4 linked regions of the Arabidopsis thaliana genome follow. The protein of the gene in region 3 interacts with the protein of the main gene of each other region in a pairwise test. Each region holds a gene or a part of one and is shown on either strand. Other genes may lie near its edges.

Region 1 (5,571 bases), on a different chromosome or scaffold from region 3:
GTATAATCATCTTGATTCGAATTTCTATCAACTGTTCAATCCAGTTTTTTTTTTTTTTCTTTCAACCGAATTACTATGTACATAGCAATTTGAATTTGAAGCCATTTTGGTTGTGTTGAGATTACAGGAGCTACACAAGAGACGTATGCAAATAAAAGCTAATGCAAAGATTCATAAGAAGAAACCTAAAGGTATATATATATTTAGCTCTCTTTTTTTGAGAATTCTCAGTTCATATTCACTAGACTAAAAGCTCTACACTGAAATGCAGCGAGCAAGAATTCTCAGAGTAAAGCGATCGAAGATGGCGAAAGCTCTAAAAAGTTGAAAGAACCAACTTCTTCTTCTTCTTCTACCTTAGAAGAACAGAATCATAACAAGACAGTAGTCACAGTACCGAAGAAGCCACAAAAACTGTTTTGGGGGTGAGCTTATTTCGCTAATTTTAGAATTCTTTTTCATATTGAGAAAACCGTGCTAATGCCATGCTTTTTTTGTTTTGAAACAGGCTAGATACCAGGGAGAGGTGGGAAAGGAAAGCCAACATGTAGTGGTCATGAAAAGATTTCTCGTTATTGATAACGTCGTCCATTGTACAATTTAAGAGTAGCAGATTAGAGAAAGACTCACAAACTAAATGATGAAACAAACTGGTTTTTGTTCTGCTGATTTCTTTTGTTTAATTTCAAGCTCCAGATGTAAGAGCAAGCTCTATTTCCTCCAGTGATCGACCTTTAGTCTCGACGACGTTTCCTGCAATGTAGAGGACCGCAAGGACGCAGACTCCAGCAAAACCCAAGTAGACACTGCTGATTCCGAATTTAGTCACAACGCTTAAGAAGTATAGTCCGATCACAAAGTTTGATATCTGTTAGGGCAAAAGAGAAACAAAACATTAGAAACAGAGAGAAGAAACTCTGTTCTGAACCCATAAAACCTATAGATATATGTATATACCCAGTGCATGCCGAGAGAAAGAGCGACGGCTTTTGCTCTGATTCGGGATGCAAATATCTCTGGAAGAAGAAGAGCCGGTACCGGGCCAGCACCAAGTGAGAATGACAGGACATATCTGATTTAAACAACCGAGCATAAGAGTCAGTCAAGTCCTATACAGAGAGACTATAAGGAAGTGTTAAGAGGAGATTGACTTACAGAACAGTTCCAACAACGGCAAGGGTTCCAGAATAGGCAGCAAGAGCCTTCCATGTGAAGGACAAGGAGAGTAACAGCATTGACAAAGCCTTTTCAATACAAAACCATAAAATCCAAGTTAGTCCTGTTGTGGTAATACTAATGAGGGTTGAGATTTTCGAATATGGCTAAGAATTTTAATAAAAACATGTACCATTCCACCAAAGCTTGTCAGTAAAAGACTTTTCCTTCCCATTTTATCCATCAACGATGAAGCAACAGCAGTGCCTGCGACCAGATTTTTATCGTGTTATTTTTTTGGTTATTTTTGGAATTTAATGAGAACATAACGGGGAAACGAACCAAAGACATTTGATGCTCCAACGAGAGCACTGGCTGCAACATCTGATTGGATTCCCGCACTACGGAATACCGATGTGGAGTAATACACAACTGCGTTTATCCCGGCTAACTGTTGAAACAAGAAGAGAGCCGCACCTACGCTTACAACTACAACAAGAACAGACAAGAAACTATGTAAATTGATCAATCCGATATGACCTTTGAAAGGAATCCGTCAGCTTTTATTACAAACTAAACAATGTATCTCCACCAAGTCTTGCTATACCTTTCCAGTAGCGGCTGCTGAATAGATCAAACCATCCTGCCTCCGGCTCAGAAGAACCTTGGCCAGAGGCTGATAAGTCGCGAACTAGTTCAACCACTCTTTCTTTACCATACAAAGTTTTGATCGCCTTTTCAGCTTCAGAGACTTTTCCTTGCTGCAAAATTGATTTCCTTGACTTGTCAAAAATTGATCTCATTTTAAGTGTTGAGATCTGTTCCTTGAGAGTACCTGAACGAGCCACCTTGGGCTTTCTGGAGAAAAAGCCATTCCTATGGCCAATAGAACGGAAGGGATAACTGCAACACCAAACATCGTCCTCCACCTAGAAGACCACGATATCAAAACTTATCACAGTATGCAACCCAAAATAAAAGATGATGAATAAAAAAGGGATGTTACATACCATAGAGGGTTTGCTGCAAGGGGTAATCCAGCTATCAAGGCTGCAAGTATTCCTATACAGATGAACAACTGGTTCACAGATCCGAGTGCTCCACGGATTTCAGTTGGTGATATCTGACAACCATCATCAAACGCTTCAGAGACATAACATATAAACAAATCTAACATCTTATGCTAAAAGTGCAAAAATAATGAAAATCAGTATTTAAACAACCTCAGATATGTAAAGTGGTACAATCGCTGATGAGATTCCAATTCCAATTCCAGCGAGCAGACGTCCCACAATCATAGTCTGCACACTCTGAGCTGTTGCACTAATCAATAAAAAAAGAACCAATGCGTTAAGAAATCAATTAACGTCTCACCAATAGGTATGGCTTAGTGCTTGAAAATTTACCATAAGAAAGCTCCAATGGCAAGCGGGATAGCATCCAATTGAAAAGTTCTTGTTCGTCCAAATTTGTCAGCTAATGCACCTCCAGTGAATGAACCTACCGTAGCACCAGCAAGCAGAGAACTAACAATCCATCCTGCTCAACACCAATCATAGAGAATACCAATTATGAGTTTGGCTACTAATCAAAACACGAATCATTTTACCGTTGACAGGAGGAGTAAAGAAGTGGATCATCATATACTTGCCTTGCAAAACAGTATTTTCGGCGATCCCAAGATCCTTAGCAAGATATTCAAGAGCACCATTAACCACCCTGATTCAGTCCAATAGAACATCATCATCCATGATCACACCAAGATAAAAACAGTGTAGTATTTAGTCATACCCGAGATGATAACCAAAGAGTATAGCACCAAGACAAGCAACACCAACAAAAGGCAAAACTGTTCCAGAGCTTTTCCCTTCAGATCTCAGAGGTATAGCTTCTTCTTCATCTCCATCTACATTTCATTCCTCAAACCATCAGATGATTAGTCCAAATCCCAAACTATACATTAGATTCTTCAAATTGTATTTAAGAACTTGTAAGCAATCACAGAATCTAATGATAGACAAAGATAGAAGAGCATTAGAAGAGACGAACCAGATGAGGCTTGAGCTCTGACCGATCGAGCTTTGACAGAAGAGAAACTCATAACGCTCTGGATCCCGTTATCAGCACGAGCAAGCGTCGCTCCCATGGCTTCAGAACCAGAACAGTAGAGTGGCCCGGTGGTGGCTAAGCTCTTATAACCAGCGAAGCGAATTCCGGTAGAAGTCGTCGATCTGTCAGAAGAGAAGGTCCGTCTCTGAAACGCAAACGCAGCGTTTCCTTTAACCGCATACGTTGACGACTGCATTTTGTCTGACTTTTTATAACCGTAATTGCAAGGAAACGAGAAATATTAGGCAAGGAAGGAAAAAAAAGGATCGCATTTATACCAAACAGAACTCAAAAAGAGAGAAGTAAGGAACGATGAAGACGCAACATCACGAAATTGGGAAATATGTTGCATTGATGCGAACGAGAGAGTAAAAACGCTCTTCTCGATCGCGGCTGATTAACAAAAATCGTGATATCCAAAGCAAAACTTCAGATTTGAAAATTACCAGAGAAACTTCGGAGACTCCGCGATTTGAGAGAGAGGATAGTGAGGGCTTAAACCAGATAGATTGTGATTGCTGAGAAGAACTCACTGTGGAGCTTATTGTCGTTTAAAAAAAAAAATTAAAACGCACCAAAAAATAAATAATGCAATTTTGTTTCCTTATTAGTTTTGGATTTTTGTGTAATAATTCATATTTATCCAAAACCATACGGAAAATAGAGTATTTTCATTTCTTATTTTAAAGAAATCATGAAATTTAATGCATGTGATGCAACTTTCAATTTTGGATTGGTAATTTTGTAATATTTGCTAGGAAATTTGAATAAATCAACCAGTATCAACTAAATCGAACTAAGTGGCGGGACTAATTAGGAAATTTTTTTGAGTTTATAAATTGAGAAAATTATTTACAATTATTATTCGACATAAATTAGTCGATAAAAGGGTAAGAAAAAAAGAAGTAAAAGAGTTACGTAAGAGCCGCAGGATTGGCGATTTGGCAACGTTGGATTTTCTGGATTAGATTTTGGATGACGTATATAGCCGCACGTGTTATTCAATAGTACTCACGTGCCGCCATTGAGCATAGTAACGGTGACGTATAAAAATCATAGTAACTTGGGCCACTATTATTTAACCCATCATTTTTGTGGGCTAATATTAGTAAGCCCATTAATACAAAACGGGACCAATTTCTAACATCTTCGTCTCAGTATTTCATCGTTCTACTTCTATCTCGTTCCAACGTCTTCGCAAAAGAAAATTCCGAAATTGTTTCGAAAAATCCTGAAGAAGAAGAGGTAAGCTATTTTCCTTCTCACTTATCCTTCTTCTACTGAAAATTTATAACATAATATAAACCACAAATACATTTTTGTGTAATCCTTGTAGCTCATTGCTAATCTCTGATTCTCCAGAAATTTTGCTGAGTCCTCTGTTCGATTACACTTCAATTATTTTTTATCTGCGCTGTATCTCTGTTAATGGGTTTCATTAAGTTTTGATTCTCAGTTGTTATATGATTTCGAATTTCATTATATCCTGAAAAGCTTTTATCTTTATGTATATTCCAAGTATTGAATCTCAAAGTTTCTAGTCATTTCAATTTCAATAGGTCTTTGAATCAACAACAGTTCCATGTTGTGCCCAACGTATACACCAAGTGTTTACCATTTTCAAACGCAAAAGCCAGTTTTCCGGAAACAGAGGTTTCGGGTTTGTTCATCTACTTCTGGTGGTGAGGATGATAGATTCAAAGTAGAGTACACTCCTTGGCTTATCGTTGGGTTGGGCAATCCAGGAAACAAGTATCATGGAACAAGACACAATGTAATGATACACAATCTTTTTCTTTTACTTAATTGCTGGATTTGATCTTGGCAATGCTACAACTTTGTGTTGTTTTCAGGTTGGTTTCGAGATGATCGATGTGTTGGCTAGAAAAGAAGGGGTGTTGATGAACACTATACAGTCCAAAGCTCTAATCGGAATAGGTTCTACTTCTCTTGCTTTGGTTCTTTGGTTTGAAGAATAATAAAACTGATGACTTTTTGGTTCTATGTATGAATCAGTACAGGTGCTATTGAAGATGTACCTATCTTGTTGGCTAAACCTCAGACTTATATGAACTTCAGCGGCGAATCGGTTTGTATTTTCTGTTCATAACTTTGCAAAGATCAGCTGCGTGATCAAATAATCATCATACCTGAAACTGTTCTGTTGTCGTTTTAAAGGTTGGATCTCTAGCTTCACACTATCGAGTACCATTGCGCCACATTTTAATGGTAAAGTCACTGACTTAAGCATCCCTTGAATCCAGAACTATGTTCCATATGAACACTTTTGTTTCTCTCTACTAGATT
Region 2 (4,492 bases), on a different chromosome or scaffold from region 3:
CAGCTGCAGCAGAGGTGGTTTGGAACCGTGGATTGCTCAAGCGCGTGGGGATCTGTCATGGAATAAGTGGGAACGCATATGTTTTTCTTGCGCTTTACAGAGCTACGGGAAGGAGTGAGTATCTATACCGTGCAAAAGCCTTTGCCAGTTTCCTGCTTGATAGAGGCCCCAAGTTACTCTCAAAAGGAGAAATGCATGGAGGTGATAGTCCTTATTCCTTGTTTGAAGGCGTTGCAGGCATGGCCTATCTCTTCCTTGACATGGTCGACCCATCTGAAGCCAGGTTCCCAGGTTACGAGCTTTAAACTTCTTGATCGATAACAATCTCCGTCCATCAAATCCTTCTCTCTTGTTATGGAGGATGCACAAGGTAAGAGAGGGTGTGAGTGTATGTGTGTTTAGTACTAGCAAAATCTTCTTGTTGTTTGATGGTGAATAAGTTTGAGTTGATATATAGCCGAACTGTCCGGAGAGCCTGTAACTTTATGAGTGTTAGAAGGAGAGTGTGAAACATGAAGTGAACACAAAGGTTCTGTCATTTCTGTATATATTGTCTTTTGAGTTGAGTATCACATGGTTTCTTCTTGAAACAAGGAACAAAAAAACAGAGCAGTTGGTTTCTTTGGAATATGCACTGGGTCTATACCATCATCAAACGCACTTACAAAATCTATCTTACGTTCTTTGGATCTAATGCAAGAACAGAACACCATAAGAGTATCTTTTCACTTCTGCCTCTTCTACTTTAACATGATCAATTCAAAACTCCTGTTCCTTGCGCACAAGACGCTCAGCATCTCCAAGCTCAACTTCACCGTCTTTTCTTTCCAGCCCACCCTGAAACATCAACTCTATCTGCTCCAGTGACTTCCCGCTTGTCTCGGGGACTAGCACATACACGAAGATAACTGAGAGTGCAGACACGAGGGAGAAAACGAAGAAGGTTCCTCCAACAGTGATGGCACGTGACACAGAGAGGAAGGACATGGCCACCAGACCGCTGCACACCCTGTTCCCAACCGCCCCAAGCGCAGATGCCTGGGCTCTTAATCGTAATGGAAAGATCTCTGATGTCAAGACCCAGCAAACAGGTCCCATTCCTATGGAGAAGAAGGCAACGTTTCCACAAACAAAGAGAAGCGCCAAGGTTATCCCAAGCGTTCCTTGGCCGAGGAATGTGAGCGTAAAGCTTAGACAAAAGAGACACAGAGTCATTCCTATTGTGCTCACATAAAGCAGCGGTTTCCGGCCAACACTATCAATCAGGAAGGTGGCAAATAGTATGAACACTGTTTTCGTGACACCAACAGCGACAGTTGCAGCGAGCAGTTTGGTCTCGTCTTGTATCCCAGCCTCTTTCAGGATCTCTGGACTATAGTAGACTGTGGCGTCAATTCCTGTGATCTGCTGGAAACACTGGATTCCAAATCCAACAATCAGCATTTTCCGTACAACAGGAGATGGGCTAAGAAGCTCACGCCACACGGGCCTGTCCTCGCTGCCTTCTGTATGTGCAGCCGCCAGTTGTATCTCTGCAAGCCGCTCTTCCGCTTCGTCATCTCGCTCATTCGTTTTCATGAGCACCTCTCGTGCACTGTCCACTCGGCCTTTCATCACCAGCCACCTCGGCGACTCAGGGATCACACACAGCGCAAATCCTATGAACACCGAAGGAAGAATCCCAACTGCAAGCATGATCCTCCAGCTGATATGCACGGAAAGCCCCGAGAAAGCGTAGTTCGAAACATAGCCCAGCAAGATCCCTAGATTTATGAAGATCTCAGGGAACGAAGTGAAAAATCCTCTAGCTACGGTGGGGGATATCTCGGCGATGTAGACAGGAGCGATCATGACACCAAGCCCAATCCCAATGCCGGCTAAAGTTCTCCCTATCATCAAAACCTCGAAAGACGGAGCGACAGCCATCACGGCAGCACCAGTCTGGAAGACGAGAGCAGCCAAGGCCATGGTCCATTTTCTACCGATAGAGTCAGAGGTTCTGCCGCCGGCTAAGCTGCCAAAGAGTGAGATGATGCTAAGGCTACCAATGAGCACTTCCGTCTGCACCTCCGTTATTTTGAGATCCTGCTGTATGAACAACACCGCACCGCTCATTACCCCAACATCTGACAAATACCAAAAACAGAGCACACATACCTTTTTGTAAGTCAACAAAGTAAAGAAGAAGAAGAAGAATCCGATTATATAAGTAAAACCGACCGTAGCCGAGAAGAACATTGTTCAAGGATGCAAAAAAGGCACAAGCCATAACGTATTTTCTGGTTCTACTGTTTCTAGCCTCTGCTTCACGATGATTCTGCGATTCCTCCGCGTCGGAGTCCATTCTCTGATACTTATTCTTCTTATTTCCGACAGAGACCGCCGGAAAACCCGAGCCACCGCCATTACCAACCTCCGGAAGATTCTTCATCATCTCCCTCCGCCGAGGCTTCAGACAGCAGACTCAGGTGGTGTCTGTTTTCGGAAAAAAAGAGAATTCAGACAACGACTTGAGGAAGAAAGTCGTAGATCTCGGAAGAAGGGCTTTAGATGACCAGATCTGAACCGGAGAGACTTCTTAGAAATCTCATCGTCTCTATTTGACCAAATTGGTGGAATTTTCTAATGAGGTAATCCAATTTTCAAAAGACAACTTGACTCCTTCCATTAACATTACGTTTCAAGAAATAGGATTTTTTTTCTTTTCTTAAAGCGTAAAAAAAGTTGGAAAGATATTTAAGAACTTATTAAATTAAGATAGATTAGAGTTTTCAAGGTAATAACAGCTCATCTGTTAGCTTAGCACACACTCTTAAAAGGCATGAAAACATTTATTGAAAACTAAATAAATCAGGGTTTCGAGTTTGGACAGTTAACCTTTATTATGAAAAAAATGGAATTAACCTCCAATGGCAGCTTGCTCCCTATGAATGAGATCTGTCGGTGGTTATTCCAAGCTCATTGGAACTACAGAGACAGTGTCATTGACGTGGCAACAACAATCTTTAAATTGATTGATATTTTTCTTCTAATTTTGTAATTTCATAAAATACAGACCTCATATTGCTGCAAACCTTGGATTATAATCTCCTTTATGAGCTGGATATATACTATATCTAGATAGCATTCTCTATATAGAGCAATTTCTTTCTTAGGCTTGTAGACTAATTATGAAACAGTGGCAACTTCATGAACACAACCACCTTACGAGTTTTATTATCACATGTTCCATTCCAGACAGATTTGCAACTAAAACAACATTCATCTTTCTTTATCTCTCAAGAAACAACAATAATGTACAGATACACTTCCGCTGTAAAAATCAAACTGCTCATTCATACGTTTAATGCTTTCAAACTCAAACAAATAAATCACTTCCTTGGGATGGGAAAATACAATACCAGTGAGGCTGCGACTTGGGGAAATCACACGACGGCTGCTGATGGAGCTTTCCCCAATGTGTTCCACAATATATAATCCCCTGAAGTCACCTGTTTACGCACATATCATGTAGAGCGCCTTTAGAGTTTTATCCAATCCGGTTCAAACGTTTCCTGTGCACTTCAATATTTATACACTATATATTGTTGGCAGTGTCTTACCTGAGCAGAAAACTCAACCGGTGACTTTGTGGTTGGGTAGATATTGACCTAGTAAAACAAAAGGAGGCCATAATAAGTCGATAATATGGGCTAACACTGTTAACTAATCATTGCAAGTTGCGAAAGCTTACTGATTTTGTGTCGATTGACATTCGAGATACAGATGCCCCGACAATCTTGAACGAGACCTGTAAACCAGAAGATAGATTTGAACAACAACCAAGTCCAAAAGATTTCAAAAGGAAGCCAAAGACATACATACCTTGGCATAGTCATAGGCTTGCCAGCAGAACGGTTCCTCCAACTCAGCTGCTGGGAGATCCTTGTTCATTTTCTGCACCAAGAAGTCCTCCACGTTCACCACATTCTCAGCGCTCTCATCCTCACTCTCTTCATCATCCCCATCCCCTTTTCTTCTGCTCTGCAATGGACTAAACTTGATTGTCCCAGGGAAAGTTGCCTCAAGGCTTTTCCCAGAAAGACTACGTCCGCTGCCCAGAATCCTCCACTCAACAGAGTGTTCTGTGGTTAAAACAGTCCCAGCTGACGGAGTCCCATCAAATGCCACTATCCGTCTCCGTGGAAAGGGCATAGTAATAGTGCAAAATTCCATTGACAGAGGAGCCTTGTAACCTTCCATGAGGTGCACCTTGAAGAGGAATGCACCCTCGTCTTCTGAAACCATTGATAGCTGATAGAACCCTTTCACTGGTGGTCCGAGTCCACAACCTGCCTGGTATCGCATGAGAACAAAGTTACCCAAGGGAGGCTGGAAAACAATGTTCTGCTTGTCAATCCCATGTGCTGGAACTTGGGCACATGGATGGAAAGATATAGCTTCGATATGGGCTGTACTCAGCCCTGCTAGAGGAAACGACACATCAGGCAGC
Region 3 (5,167 bases):
TGAATTCACACTTGCATGATCTATGATGGTTCATGTTTACCTGTTAATAGAAGATAAGAAGCTTGACACATGCAAAAACAAACACCGATCACTAAATTTTTATTATTACTCATCATGAAGTACTTCTTTGTATTATAGTGTCGTTAGTATAAACCTGAGGAATGTAAGACTTAACGGATTCCGGTTGTACGTAGACTGAATCGTTACTATGAAAATTTGTCATTAGTAAAATTTGATTTTAAGGTCATGCACTTTCAATCATTTGGATGCAAATTTGAAATAGATTTTCTTATAGATTTTTTCTCGAGCAAAATATCTCAAAAGCACTACGATCAAAAGCTTGTCAGCGAGACATTGGGACACGTTGGCACATAGCAGGACAACTCACTCATCTAACCGGTAAACGGACCAACATCAGACATGAGATTACAATCGTTGACGTGTCATTATTATCCACATGGTCTTCTCTTATTGGTATACATTGTTAGATCTCAGATTATGCAGTTGTAGCGCCAGAGAGAAGATCTAATTGCATGAGGGTTAACTTAACACGTGTCGACTGTTGCTTCGTTCAACTTTAGATCAGCATTTAGGATCCAAGTAGGTGTACAATTAGATTCTCCCAGGCCAAGATTCTTCTTCCCATCTGTAGTTCTATTATCCACGTCGGATTATTTTTAATTTTACTCTATTACTATTAATTATATACGTATCCAATTCCAAGTGTATTAGATTAAGCTAAAGTATTTATCCCTCACACAGACAAATTTTATTGTTCTGTTAGCAAGTAATATTGCACTAAACCATCTCTAAGCTAATTTCAGGTCTTCATTTGTTAATGTAATATTTTTGTTGTCAACTTTAAATGTAAATAGTTTTCTTATTTTCTTATGTCATATCTTTCCTATTTCATCTAAAAAAGAATATGTTGAAATAAATTGAATAGTGGAATTATGACTTGGAAAATCAAAATTTGGAGAAGGTTTGGCGTAATGAGAAGCACGAGCATGATCGAAAAAGTGTTCTATGTGAGTTGTTCTATTTCAAAGCTCACCACGCAAGGATACACATACGTAACTTGGTCAATACAATGATCACAAGCAAACACACCCACTCATATATAAATAGAGCATATATTCCTCACAAGAATACAAGATATTATAGAGCAAAGATTGATAGCTAACTTCAGTAAATGTCGAGCTACATTTCCTTCTTCATGTTACTCTTTTTGTTCCTTATTTCTCCTCGAACAAACGTTGTCTGTGCATCAAGACCTTTATTGGAATCCAATAATCCGGGTCACATGAGCACGAATACAATTTACATAAAAGGTAGCGAACAAGGCGCATTTCGCGGTGGAGCGATGAACGATTGTCTTCCAAAGGGGTTTCACTTCAACTCAGCTCCTAGCCGCTACATTAACAATCTTCCTTTAGATTCAACTCTTTGTTCTACAACAGAGAAAGCTATTCCTAATCCATAAAAGTAATAATCCCCTAAAATATTACCCGCTAAATTAAGTATGTGCAAAGATTGATAGCTAAATCACCTATTTGTTTTTTTTTTGCTCTATGCTTGGGTTATTTCTTGAATAAAACCCATGTATGTATTCTTTAATTAATTGTGTTTGTATACTTGTGTATAATATTTAAGCAATTTTATTATAGATGAAAAAAGTAATTTTATATAAAAATGTTGTTTAGTAAATTAATCAACACAAATCAGTTTTTGCTAAATATGAGAATTTTTCTCTTCACCACGGTTAAAACTTAAAACTAAAACTGTATTTATTGAGATAATATATGTTAATAATATATGTTCATACTTCATAGCTTTGTGGAAATTGAGAATAACCATATGTAAAATATTTTGAGAAATGGTTAAAGGGTTCATAAAATAAGAGACAACACTTATGAGAAAAAAAAAAGAGCCTTTAAAATAAAACTTTGGTAAAGTCAAAGGAAAAGGACGATAAAAATCATCAAATCGATAAGTTTTTATTTTTATTTGACGATCTTGCTTCTTCTTCTTCTTCTTCTTCTTCTTCTTCTTCAACTCGTTACCATCAACGCTCAAATCCTGTATACAATCTCTTCTCAGCTGTAATTTCTATAATCTCGTCAATTATCATCTATTCAGGGGTAAGCTATGGGATGTGCTTCTTCTCTTCCAGGCAAGTTTTGTTTTCTCTCTCAATTTTGTTGAATTTGTTGTCGTTGTTCGAATAAAACTGAGGATTTATAGAGACCCTCGAGCAATTTCACCACCCATTTTCCGAAGGTGTAATCATCGGGGTTGAATTAGAAGCTTTTAAAAATTGGGGATTTTGATGATTGGTTAGGGTTTTCTGGTGGAGAATTGGAGAAACCGAATTGATTGTTGGTGATTTGTGTGTTTTGTGAAGCAGATAGGAACTCTGGAACTTTAAGTGGTCTTAGCAATTCAGAGAATGCTGTTCCAGCTGATGCCAAAAATCTACGTGTGAAGGTTTTTTTTTTTTAGTTTTTAGTCTCGTTTAAGAATGTTGATCTCGTTGAGATTGCTTTGTTTCTTCACTGATTCCTGCAATTTCTAATAGCTTATTAGAAAGTTCATGCTTTTGTGATCTGTGGTCTTGCATTATATATGATTGTTCACATTTTAATCCACGCATGTTGTAAGATGTGATAAGCCTAGTGAAGCGCTTTTGAAGAAACATACACTCTTTATAGAATGGTAGTAGCAAAACCTCAACTTTGTTCTTAATAATTGACGGTTTTGCTTTGCAAGCTACTTTTGAAACTCTTTTTCTATTGTTAAGGAGATGATTCCTTTTCTTTCACCTTTTATTTTCTTGTTGCTCAGCAGTATTTTGCCAAGTGTGGTATAATTGGTTTCAACTTTGCGTAAGACATACCACTAACTTTTGGATTCACTTGATTGCAGTTAGTTCTATTAGGAGACTCTGGTGTTGGTAAAAGTTGTATTGTCCTTCGATTTGTACGTGGTCAGTTTGACGCTACATCTAAGGTAAGTAAAGCCTTGTTATCTAATTGTCTTTATTGACCATCTGACACCTTTTTAGAACACCATGCTCTGATGTGAGTGAATATTAGACTATTAGAGTATACTTATCTGCCACTAGATCTCAAGACTACTAGCTATGTATCAGGTAACTGTTGGAGCCTCGTTCTTGTCCCAAACTATAGCATTGCAAGACTCTACCACAGTGAAGTTTGAAATATGGGATACAGCAGGACAGGAGAGGTATTAAACCCTTCATGCAGATTTGTATTGCTTATTTTATTAGATAAACGCTTTGCAAACTTACTAGGATTTAACCTGCATTCACTTTATTTTTAGGTATTCTGCTCTTGCACCACTATACTACCGTGGAGCTGGAGTTGCTGTTATTGTGTATGATATAACAAGCCCTGAATCGTTCAAGAAAGCACAGTATTGGGTTAAGGTATGTTTTCAGGGGGTTCAAAAGGTTCCATTTCGTTCATGTTTCTAGGATTCGTGCAATAGCTTCCGAGCTATATCTTTACCAGGACTGAAAATTAGAGTTACAGACAGTCATATAGCCAACAGCACTCCTGTCTGTGTATATAATGGGTATCATTTAGTTGGGCAACTGGTTTACTTCTCTGACATTTTTGTTCCATTAATTTGCACTCGTTGCTACCATGAAGCCATTTGGCACAACTCCGTGCAGGAAAGATATCAACATTATATTGAATCTAGTGCTATTGTTTTACCCCTGCCCATAAATCTAACAGGAACTGCAAAAGCATGGAAGCCCAGATATTGTTATGGCTCTGGTTGGTAACAAAGCTGATCTACATGAAAAAAGAGAAGTACCTACTGAGGTGAGTTTGCGTAAACGTCTTCATCTAGATTCCGTAGCGCATTTTGTTGTCACTTTCATTGTCCTTGCTTCTTCAGTGGTATCACATTTTCAATTTCTTAACAGGATGGAATGGAGCTTGCAGAGAAGAACGGCATGTTCTTCATTGAGACGTCAGCCAAGACAGCCGATAACATAAATCAACTGTTTGAGGTGTGCACTTCTTTCTTGCCTCTGATTTATGATCGATTTTCTTGTCCTCTGCATTTATTGAGATCTTATTATCCGTTTCTTTCATTGCTTTGGAATTGGAGGATGGAAAAGTGATAGGCAGTGATATGCAGCTAGATATGAGATTTAATTTCTTGTAGTTTGTGGAGGATAATAGTTTTGGATGCAGAAAGATGGATTAATACGAAGTATATGAGATTTTAACTTGTTGTAGTGTACACATGTCTGATAGGAAATTGGCAAGAGGCTACCTCGTCCTGCTCCTTCGTCATGATTGGAGTGTTGAATCATCTCATCTTCAGCCATGTCTTCAGACTACTAATCTTTCCATACTTTTTAATGTAATGTTTCAAAACAATATTTCTCTATCTGTTAAGTCAAGTGTGTTGTATAATGTGAAGATTTGAGTTTGAAACTGGGGATATTACGAACCTCAAAAGTGGAAACCCAAGTTATATCAAGCAATGGATCATCAGTACATATTTTAGTGGGATTCATCAGAAGTAGAGAAGAGTAAAGCTTCATTCAAATGATTCAATGCATGTATAGTTTGTGGGAGAGACTATTGCAGCCAATTCTAACAAAACCTAAATCAAGAAATTATTTGACAATTTCAAAGAGACTAACAAACAGGTAGAGAAATCCATTATACAAAGGATTTGACTTTTGATGATTTCAGATGCAAATACAAACTTAAAAACTTTATATATTTGTATTGGTCAACCTTAATATCATAAATTTATAGTTGAGGCAATAAATAAATATGAAAATCTAAATGCAATGTTTAAATATTAAAATTTAACGGCAAAATAAAATAGAAAAAATTATGATTGGTCTGAAAATGGACAAAATGAGACTTTTCATGTCCAAATAGGTGTTTATTGTCACGTTGATGAGAAGACTATTTCGTTCCATAGCATTTCTGTTCCTCCTCTTGGTTTTTTGGGTTTCTTCTTCCTCGTCTTGGTTTCGTTAAAACCCTTTTGAAGCCCTCTGGAACAGTAAAATCTGAGGGATGGGATTAACGAATTGTTGTTCCCACGAGGAGCTAATGAGTCGACTCGTTGACTCCGTTAAAGAAATATCAGGGTTTTCATCTTCAAGGGG
Region 4 (5,813 bases), on a different chromosome or scaffold from region 3:
AAAATTAGGGACATTGTTAAACAAAAGGTTGTTTGTTTACTATTATTGAAGTTTGCTCCAATTAAATTACAGAAACCAAAACTTTCGTTTGTCCAACTTTGCCTTTCACTGACACTCACTCGTGTTGAATGGTGTGAATATGTGAATCCGTTACTTTGAGAATATAAACAAGGAACGGTAACTACAAAAACCATTTTCATGTTCTTGTAACGTATTATTTCGTTACTATCTGTAAATTGTCTAGATATTTTCCTAGTTTATTACTTTTGGAAGAAAATGACCTTAGTATTGTTTACTTGGTTCTGATTTCTTAATGAATGGTCAAATTGGACAGTGGGACATGCCAAGAATGTTATATAAAGAATGATTTTAAAATTGTTATTATATTGTTGTTTTCTTTTTCAAATCGACCGCCGTTTGCATTGGAAATAGTCCTTTCATGTTCGCCAAACAACAAAACTCCCAAAGCAGTTTCTATCACATGGTAGCTTTCCCATTTGGATCCAAAACACTAACATTTGCATTTCTGATTTTCTATACTTAATTCAAGATATTGTTGAATACACAAATATAGTGCTATTAATCTTGAGAATCCGAAAAATTACACACAAAAACAAAAAATCAAATTTAAAGGTATAATGATATGCTTGTACAAGATAAACAAATTATAATCAATGTCAAGAAGAAATACATTGAACAAAGCATGAAATACAGACACAGGGAAGGGACAAAAGAATGATCTGTAATGGAGAAAGCAAAAAGTGAAAATTTTGTCTTCTTCTTCCTCTTCTTGTTTTGATCATCTGAACAAAGCTTGGATCTCTTCAAGCGTTTTTCCTTTAGTCTCAGGAACCCAAAGACTCACAAAAACCACAGTGAATCCACAAACCAAAGCGTAGAGAGTGAAAGTTCCCCCACTGCTCCATGCTAACAGCATATTTGCAGTCATTGTCACTAACCATGACACGAACCAGTTTAACAAAGTTGCTATACTTCCGGCTAAACCCTTTATATTCACTGGCAGAATCTGTTTTACCAACATTAATCAGTATTAAAATTTCCAGTTGTGATTTTAACACTAAGGAACACCATGTTTTAATATTTAGTACCTCAGACATAATCAGCCATGGAATTGGTCCCATTCCTAGAGAGCAAGAAATAACCATAGCCTGTAAATAACTCAGCCAGATTTAGTACACATACCGGGAAATATGTAAATAAGAAAGTATCTTTCGTTGTGTGAATGTATAAAACAAACGACTTACCACAACTCCAACTACGGAAACCATGCTTAGAATGTTGTACATGTTGGAATCAGGTGATACAAATTCCTAACAAAAGATTAAGAAACCTCAATATCTCATAATTAGAGTGACACTCTTACATTGTACAAGTAGAGATGTCAAAAGTTAAAATGTTACCTTAAGGTAAAATGCAACTGCTACAATCACGAGGCTTATCGTCATTCCGATAGAAGAGATCTGCATTTCAGAAGAAAATGCTAATATTATGTTATGCATACATAAATTCTTCAGACTTTGTAAGATATACAGATGAATCTCAAATATTCTTCACCATGAGTAGAAGCCGACGACCTGCTTTATCCACCAACCATGTCGCTATCCCAGTCGCCACTACCTGGTATAGAATGAACAACGGTTAGAAAAATCGAATCTAATGTCTCCTAGATTGAAATGATATACCTGAACAACGCCAACTCCAAATGTCGCCACATTACTTGATGTCACCCCTTAGTGAATGATAATTGCAAACAAAGAAGCATAGTTAGAAATCTGTTTATTCTATCTTAGGACCATTCCAATAATCAAAAAAAACATATGACTCTACCTGCAGATTCAAAAATTGTACTCGAATAGAACAAGACACCATTGATTCCTCCAAGTTGTTGAAGTGCAAGCAGCCCTATACCAACCTGTAACACAGATTACAGGAAAAGAGTGAGTTTCTCTCATGTGTTGACAAAATTAGTTCAAGAGAGGTAAGAGAAATTGCACCATCAGTGGGAAATAGTATCTCCTGCGCTTGAGGTCTACAAACCGAACTGCAGAACGTTTGCTAGATGATGCCACAGATCTCTGCAGAGTGCATAAAATGAAAATTTTAAATAAGACAAGAAATCACATCAAAGCATTTCTTCAGTTTAGTCACTACCTTGATTTCATTAACCTCAACGGTAATATCAGTCTCAAATCCACGAAGAACTTGCAATGAAGTTTCGAAATCATCTGTCAAACCCATCTTTGCCTACAATTACAACACCAAAACAATTTAGGATAACCAATAATGCAACAAACTCAACAATATAAGCAATACGGTTGTAGAGGCATACCAACCACCGAGGAGATTCAGGAATGAAAAAAAGACCCGGTATCAACAATGTACATGGCAATACTCCTAAACATAAAGAAGACAAACAAGAAAGTGATTAGACTGTATCGATCAAAATAAAATAAAAACAGGTATAGTTTCTCCCAAGTCAAGTCAAAATGTTTTGTGAGTTACCCAAAACTGCAAGAATTCTCCATGGAACAAAGAGACCGAGTAAATACGCCAGCATTATCCCAATTGTTACAGAAAGCTATAAACACAAAACATTTATTGTTTAGTGTTAACATATGAATCAGCTCATAAAATGAAACATAAAAATAGTGAAGCTAACTAAACATGACAAACCTGGTTAACTGAACCTAAGGCTCCTCTCATGGTCTGTGGAGCGATCTCAGCTATATATACGGGAACCTAAAATCGCAATTCAAAGGTGTGTAATTATATTGATCACTCCAAACAAACATTGCTGAAATCAAAGAAATAGTTGAATCTAATATTACCGTATAGGAGATAATCCCAACTCCGAAGCCTTCTAACAATCTTCCCATGTAAAGAAAAGAAGTATCCTAAACAAAAACCAAGAACAACAACAACTTAGTAGGTATAGAGATAAGCCAAGAATATCAGAAACTTTGAGAACACCAAAACACTCACTTTTGCAAATGATATCGAAAGCCATCCAATAATATTGGGAATTGCAGCAATCATCAGAGACTGTCAAAAGGAAAGAAAAACACAGTAAATAAGATACAACAAGAAAGAAGATGTTACATGACAAATTGTCACAGATGAGAACATGTTTTAGAATCAAGAAACAAAACTATTATACCCCTTTCCGTCCAACGTATTCAGCAATCTGACCACTCGCAATTGCTCCAACCATAGCACCCACATTGGATAGAGACCCAAACACAGAGTACTAAAACATCAAACAAGAAACCTAAAAGTCAGAAAATTACAGAACAAGAGTCTTTACAAAAAAAAAAAAAAAAAACAGAACAGTTCTTAAATAAAGATGGGACCTTCATACCTCTGATACAGTTAAACCAAGATCCTTAGTAATGGCAGCTTGAGTTGGTGAGGAATAACCACACTGAAAACAAAAAGATAAATCAAAATCAACACTTTCTTAGTCAATTTGAGCAAAAGCAGAGAAATCCACATTGATAAAAAAAAATATAAGAAAGTTGAGATATTTGTTTATGTTGTTCTTACAGTGAATCCGAATTGAATAGGACCAAGAGCAACAATCAAAACACAAGCTAAGACAGAAATTGAGCTGTCTCGAATAACTTGAGACGATTCCAACATACTAGATTGTCTCGAACCCATCCGATACCAACTTCCTGTGTGTAAGAACGGTCGCCGAAGATCATTTCTTCCCTCTTCCGTATTATCATCCCTAAAACTCATCTTTTTGTTTTTCTTAAATCTACAAAACAATCGTAATCTACAGAGAGAAAAAAGCACGAATCTTTCGGAGGATAAAAATGTCGATCCTAAACTAGAAAATGCAGAAGAAGAAAAATACGAAATTTGAGGTAGGATTTGAGTTTTGGGTGAATTCAAAAAGATGTTAGACTTGTTTTGCTTAAGAATTCTTCATGGTTTGTAAAAATTGAGCCTTTGCGTGGAGAGACGCAGACTGTTTCATAGTTTTCCACCTCAGAACGCGTCGCCTAACATCGATTTATAGAATTCGTAAAGGGACCTGTTTTTTTTCTTCTCTGTCGACAAAAAAAAACTTAATTTAAAAACATTTTAATTTGTAATTAAATAAGATATCGTTCATTTTAAATTCTTTTATATCAAATTTAACTATTGTTTTTTTTTGTCTGATTGTCGTTTTCGAGTTATTTTTTGCGCAAAGATAATTTTTTGAATCATTGTCCCATGTTCGCTCACATATACAAGCATTTGTAGTCGCTTTGAATCATTTATTTTCTTCTACATACTTCTACATACTCATTAGTATTATAATGAGCTTTTACAATGTAACTAATTACGCAACAATACTATAAAATTGTGGTACAGGCTGAGACTAAACTATATTGTATTTTTAAGAAAATGTTTTTCTTTTTGTTTAGGTAAACTGTCTACTTCAAAGATATTTTTTGGTAGGAATAATAATTAAAACTTCCCATATTAGAATACGAGGCCACTAGACATTCCTTTTGACAACAAAAAGTGACAATGTCATTTTATATTTTAGCACTTATAATAATAGTTAGCATGCATTATAGAATTCATATTTAGATGTTGTCCTAACTCTTAACAAAATCAGAATAACAATATTGTGGGAGAAAATTTAGCTAAAACTTCAATTTAGGACAAATAATAAGATTATTAAAGTAACACTTAAATATGAATATAATGCTCGAATCCTCCTCTACTTTTTAGCATTTTCGCTACCTCGTTGATATTGATGTCGATAGGTCACAAATATGCAAGTGACATTATTTTATTAGATAAACTCGAATAATTATAGTTTTTGTTTTCTAGTATATGAAAAATATATGGATGTCATTAATTTCGAATACTTCAATAAATATAAATATTTATTCAGATACAACATTATTTATTTATTTTCAATATTTAAAATCTTTGAGAATACGACATGTTATTTCAATGTTTACCAATAACATCCTACTATATTATTTAGGAAATACATTTTAAATATAACTTTATTTTTTTGTAAGTAATTACATAGGTATGTCATTAGAAATAAGATTTTAAAGAGTAAATTAATTTATTTCTTTAAAAATTAAAAGTCAAATACTAATTTAATTAATTAAATTTAACTCAAAAACGAAATACATTATTAATTTCCAAAAAAGTAACCAATTAAAATCAACAAATTAGATTTGATATCTAAATTATCATATTAATTTTTTATTAATTATTATAGTTCACCTCTCATCTTTATATGATTCTATTTTTGCAAAAAAATAATATCATCGTTATAAAAAAATAATTAGAATTTTTTCGCATATGCCACAATTTGAATTTTTAAAAACGAATATAAACTGTTCAATACATGAAAAAATACTATAACGGGTCAAAAGTAGATTTAAGAAATTTTTTTACTGAGTACTGTGTCATAGTTTGAATATTTATATTCAATTTCATACATATTATTTTAAAATTTATAATCTTATATACTACAATAATTAATAACATATTAGATTTTTTAATGTGTATGATGTGATTCAATTTTTAATACAAGCTGAAAAATCCTACAATTGACGGGTTTAAATCAATATTAATACAAGATGATATACTATATGTGAAACTTTAAAATTAACAATCAAAATACAAGTATATAATTTTAAACACTAAACAATATAAATAATATCAACAAAACATATACAACTCGCAGTTTACTATACATTTAAAATCAAATAAAATAATATCATATATTTATAATCAACTTTACAATAAAAGTTTTTAGTTTAACTAAAATA

What was found.
Region 1: the proteins of ARA6 (region 3) and PGLCT interact in a protein complementation assay, tested with the Arabidopsis thaliana proteins (one large-scale study listed by BioGRID).
Region 2: the proteins of ARA6 (region 3) and AT2G20780 interact in a protein complementation assay, tested with the Arabidopsis thaliana proteins (one large-scale study listed by BioGRID).
Region 4: the proteins of ARA6 (region 3) and AT1G19450 interact in a protein complementation assay, tested with the Arabidopsis thaliana proteins (one large-scale study listed by BioGRID).

What each region holds. Positions count from the first base shown.
Region 1 is NC_003076.8:5,270,793-5,276,363, reverse strand, and holds PGLCT (plastidic GLC translocator), read right to left. Parts: upstream 3,889-5,571; 5' UTR 3,711-3,888; exon of another isoform or gene 3,470-3,710; 5' UTR 3,461-3,469; coding exon 3,205-3,460; intron 3,062-3,204; coding exon 2,947-3,061; intron 2,875-2,946; coding exon 2,807-2,874; intron 2,695-2,806; coding exon 2,562-2,694; intron 2,479-2,561; coding exon 2,379-2,478; intron 2,279-2,378; coding exon 2,166-2,278; intron 2,085-2,165; coding exon 1,991-2,084; intron 1,917-1,990; coding exon 1,763-1,916; intron 1,645-1,762; coding exon 1,498-1,644; intron 1,423-1,497; coding exon 1,349-1,422; intron 1,245-1,348; coding exon 1,156-1,244; intron 1,073-1,155; coding exon 958-1,072; intron 869-957; coding exon 686-868; 3' UTR 552-685; downstream 1-551. Other genes in the region: AT5G16160 (uncharacterized protein), read left to right, coding at 128-191, 272-425, 509-551; AT5G16140 (Peptidyl-tRNA hydrolase family protein), read left to right, coding at 4,847-5,038, 5,118-5,202, 5,286-5,353, 5,443-5,493, 5,569-5,571. UniProt on the Arabidopsis thaliana protein: May be involved in the efflux of glucose towards the cytosol.
Region 2 is NC_003071.7:8,946,737-8,951,228, forward strand, and holds AT2G20780 (Major facilitator superfamily protein), read right to left. Parts: upstream 2,694-4,492; 5' UTR 2,435-2,693; coding exon 2,221-2,434; coding exon of another isoform or gene 2,158-2,220; intron 2,127-2,157; coding exon 760-2,126; 3' UTR 506-759; downstream 1-505. Other genes in the region: GCL2 (GCR2-like 2), read left to right, coding at 1-305; AT2G20784 (uncharacterized protein), read left to right, coding at 2,885-3,040; AT2G20790 (clathrin adaptor complexes medium subunit family protein), read right to left, coding at 3,426-3,491, 3,603-3,650, 3,734-3,790, 3,865-4,492. UniProt on the Arabidopsis thaliana protein: Plasma membrane sugar-proton symporter.
Region 3 is NC_003074.8:20,316,449-20,321,615, forward strand, and holds ARA6 (Ras-related small GTP-binding family protein), read left to right. Parts: upstream 1-1,963; 5' UTR 1,964-2,148; coding exon 2,149-2,173; intron 2,174-2,407; coding exon 2,408-2,487; intron 2,488-2,507; exon of another isoform or gene 2,508-2,712; coding exon of another isoform or gene 2,713-2,715; intron 2,716-2,925; coding exon 2,926-3,009; intron 3,010-3,151; coding exon 3,152-3,246; intron 3,247-3,342; coding exon 3,343-3,448; intron 3,449-3,761; coding exon 3,762-3,851; intron 3,852-3,955; coding exon 3,956-4,042; intron 4,043-4,274; coding exon of another isoform or gene 4,275-4,289; exon of another isoform or gene 4,290-4,292; coding exon 4,293-4,334; 3' UTR 4,335-4,658; downstream 4,659-5,167. Other genes in the region: PUB14 (plant U-box 14), read left to right, coding at 5,076-5,167.
Region 4 is NC_003070.9:6,730,872-6,736,684, forward strand, and holds AT1G19450 (Major facilitator superfamily protein), read right to left. Parts: upstream 4,154-5,813; 5' UTR 3,763-4,153; coding exon 3,565-3,762; intron 3,443-3,564; coding exon 3,380-3,442; intron 3,269-3,379; coding exon 3,179-3,268; intron 3,064-3,178; coding exon 3,004-3,063; intron 2,916-3,003; coding exon 2,850-2,915; intron 2,761-2,849; coding exon 2,695-2,760; intron 2,600-2,694; coding exon 2,524-2,599; intron 2,416-2,523; coding exon 2,351-2,415; intron 2,266-2,350; coding exon 2,173-2,265; intron 2,097-2,172; coding exon 2,016-2,096; intron 1,934-2,015; coding exon 1,849-1,933; intron 1,751-1,848; coding exon 1,704-1,750; intron 1,639-1,703; coding exon 1,576-1,638; intron 1,482-1,575; coding exon 1,422-1,481; intron 1,332-1,421; coding exon 1,266-1,331; intron 1,170-1,265; coding exon 1,110-1,169; intron 1,028-1,109; coding exon 800-1,027; 3' UTR 540-799; downstream 1-539.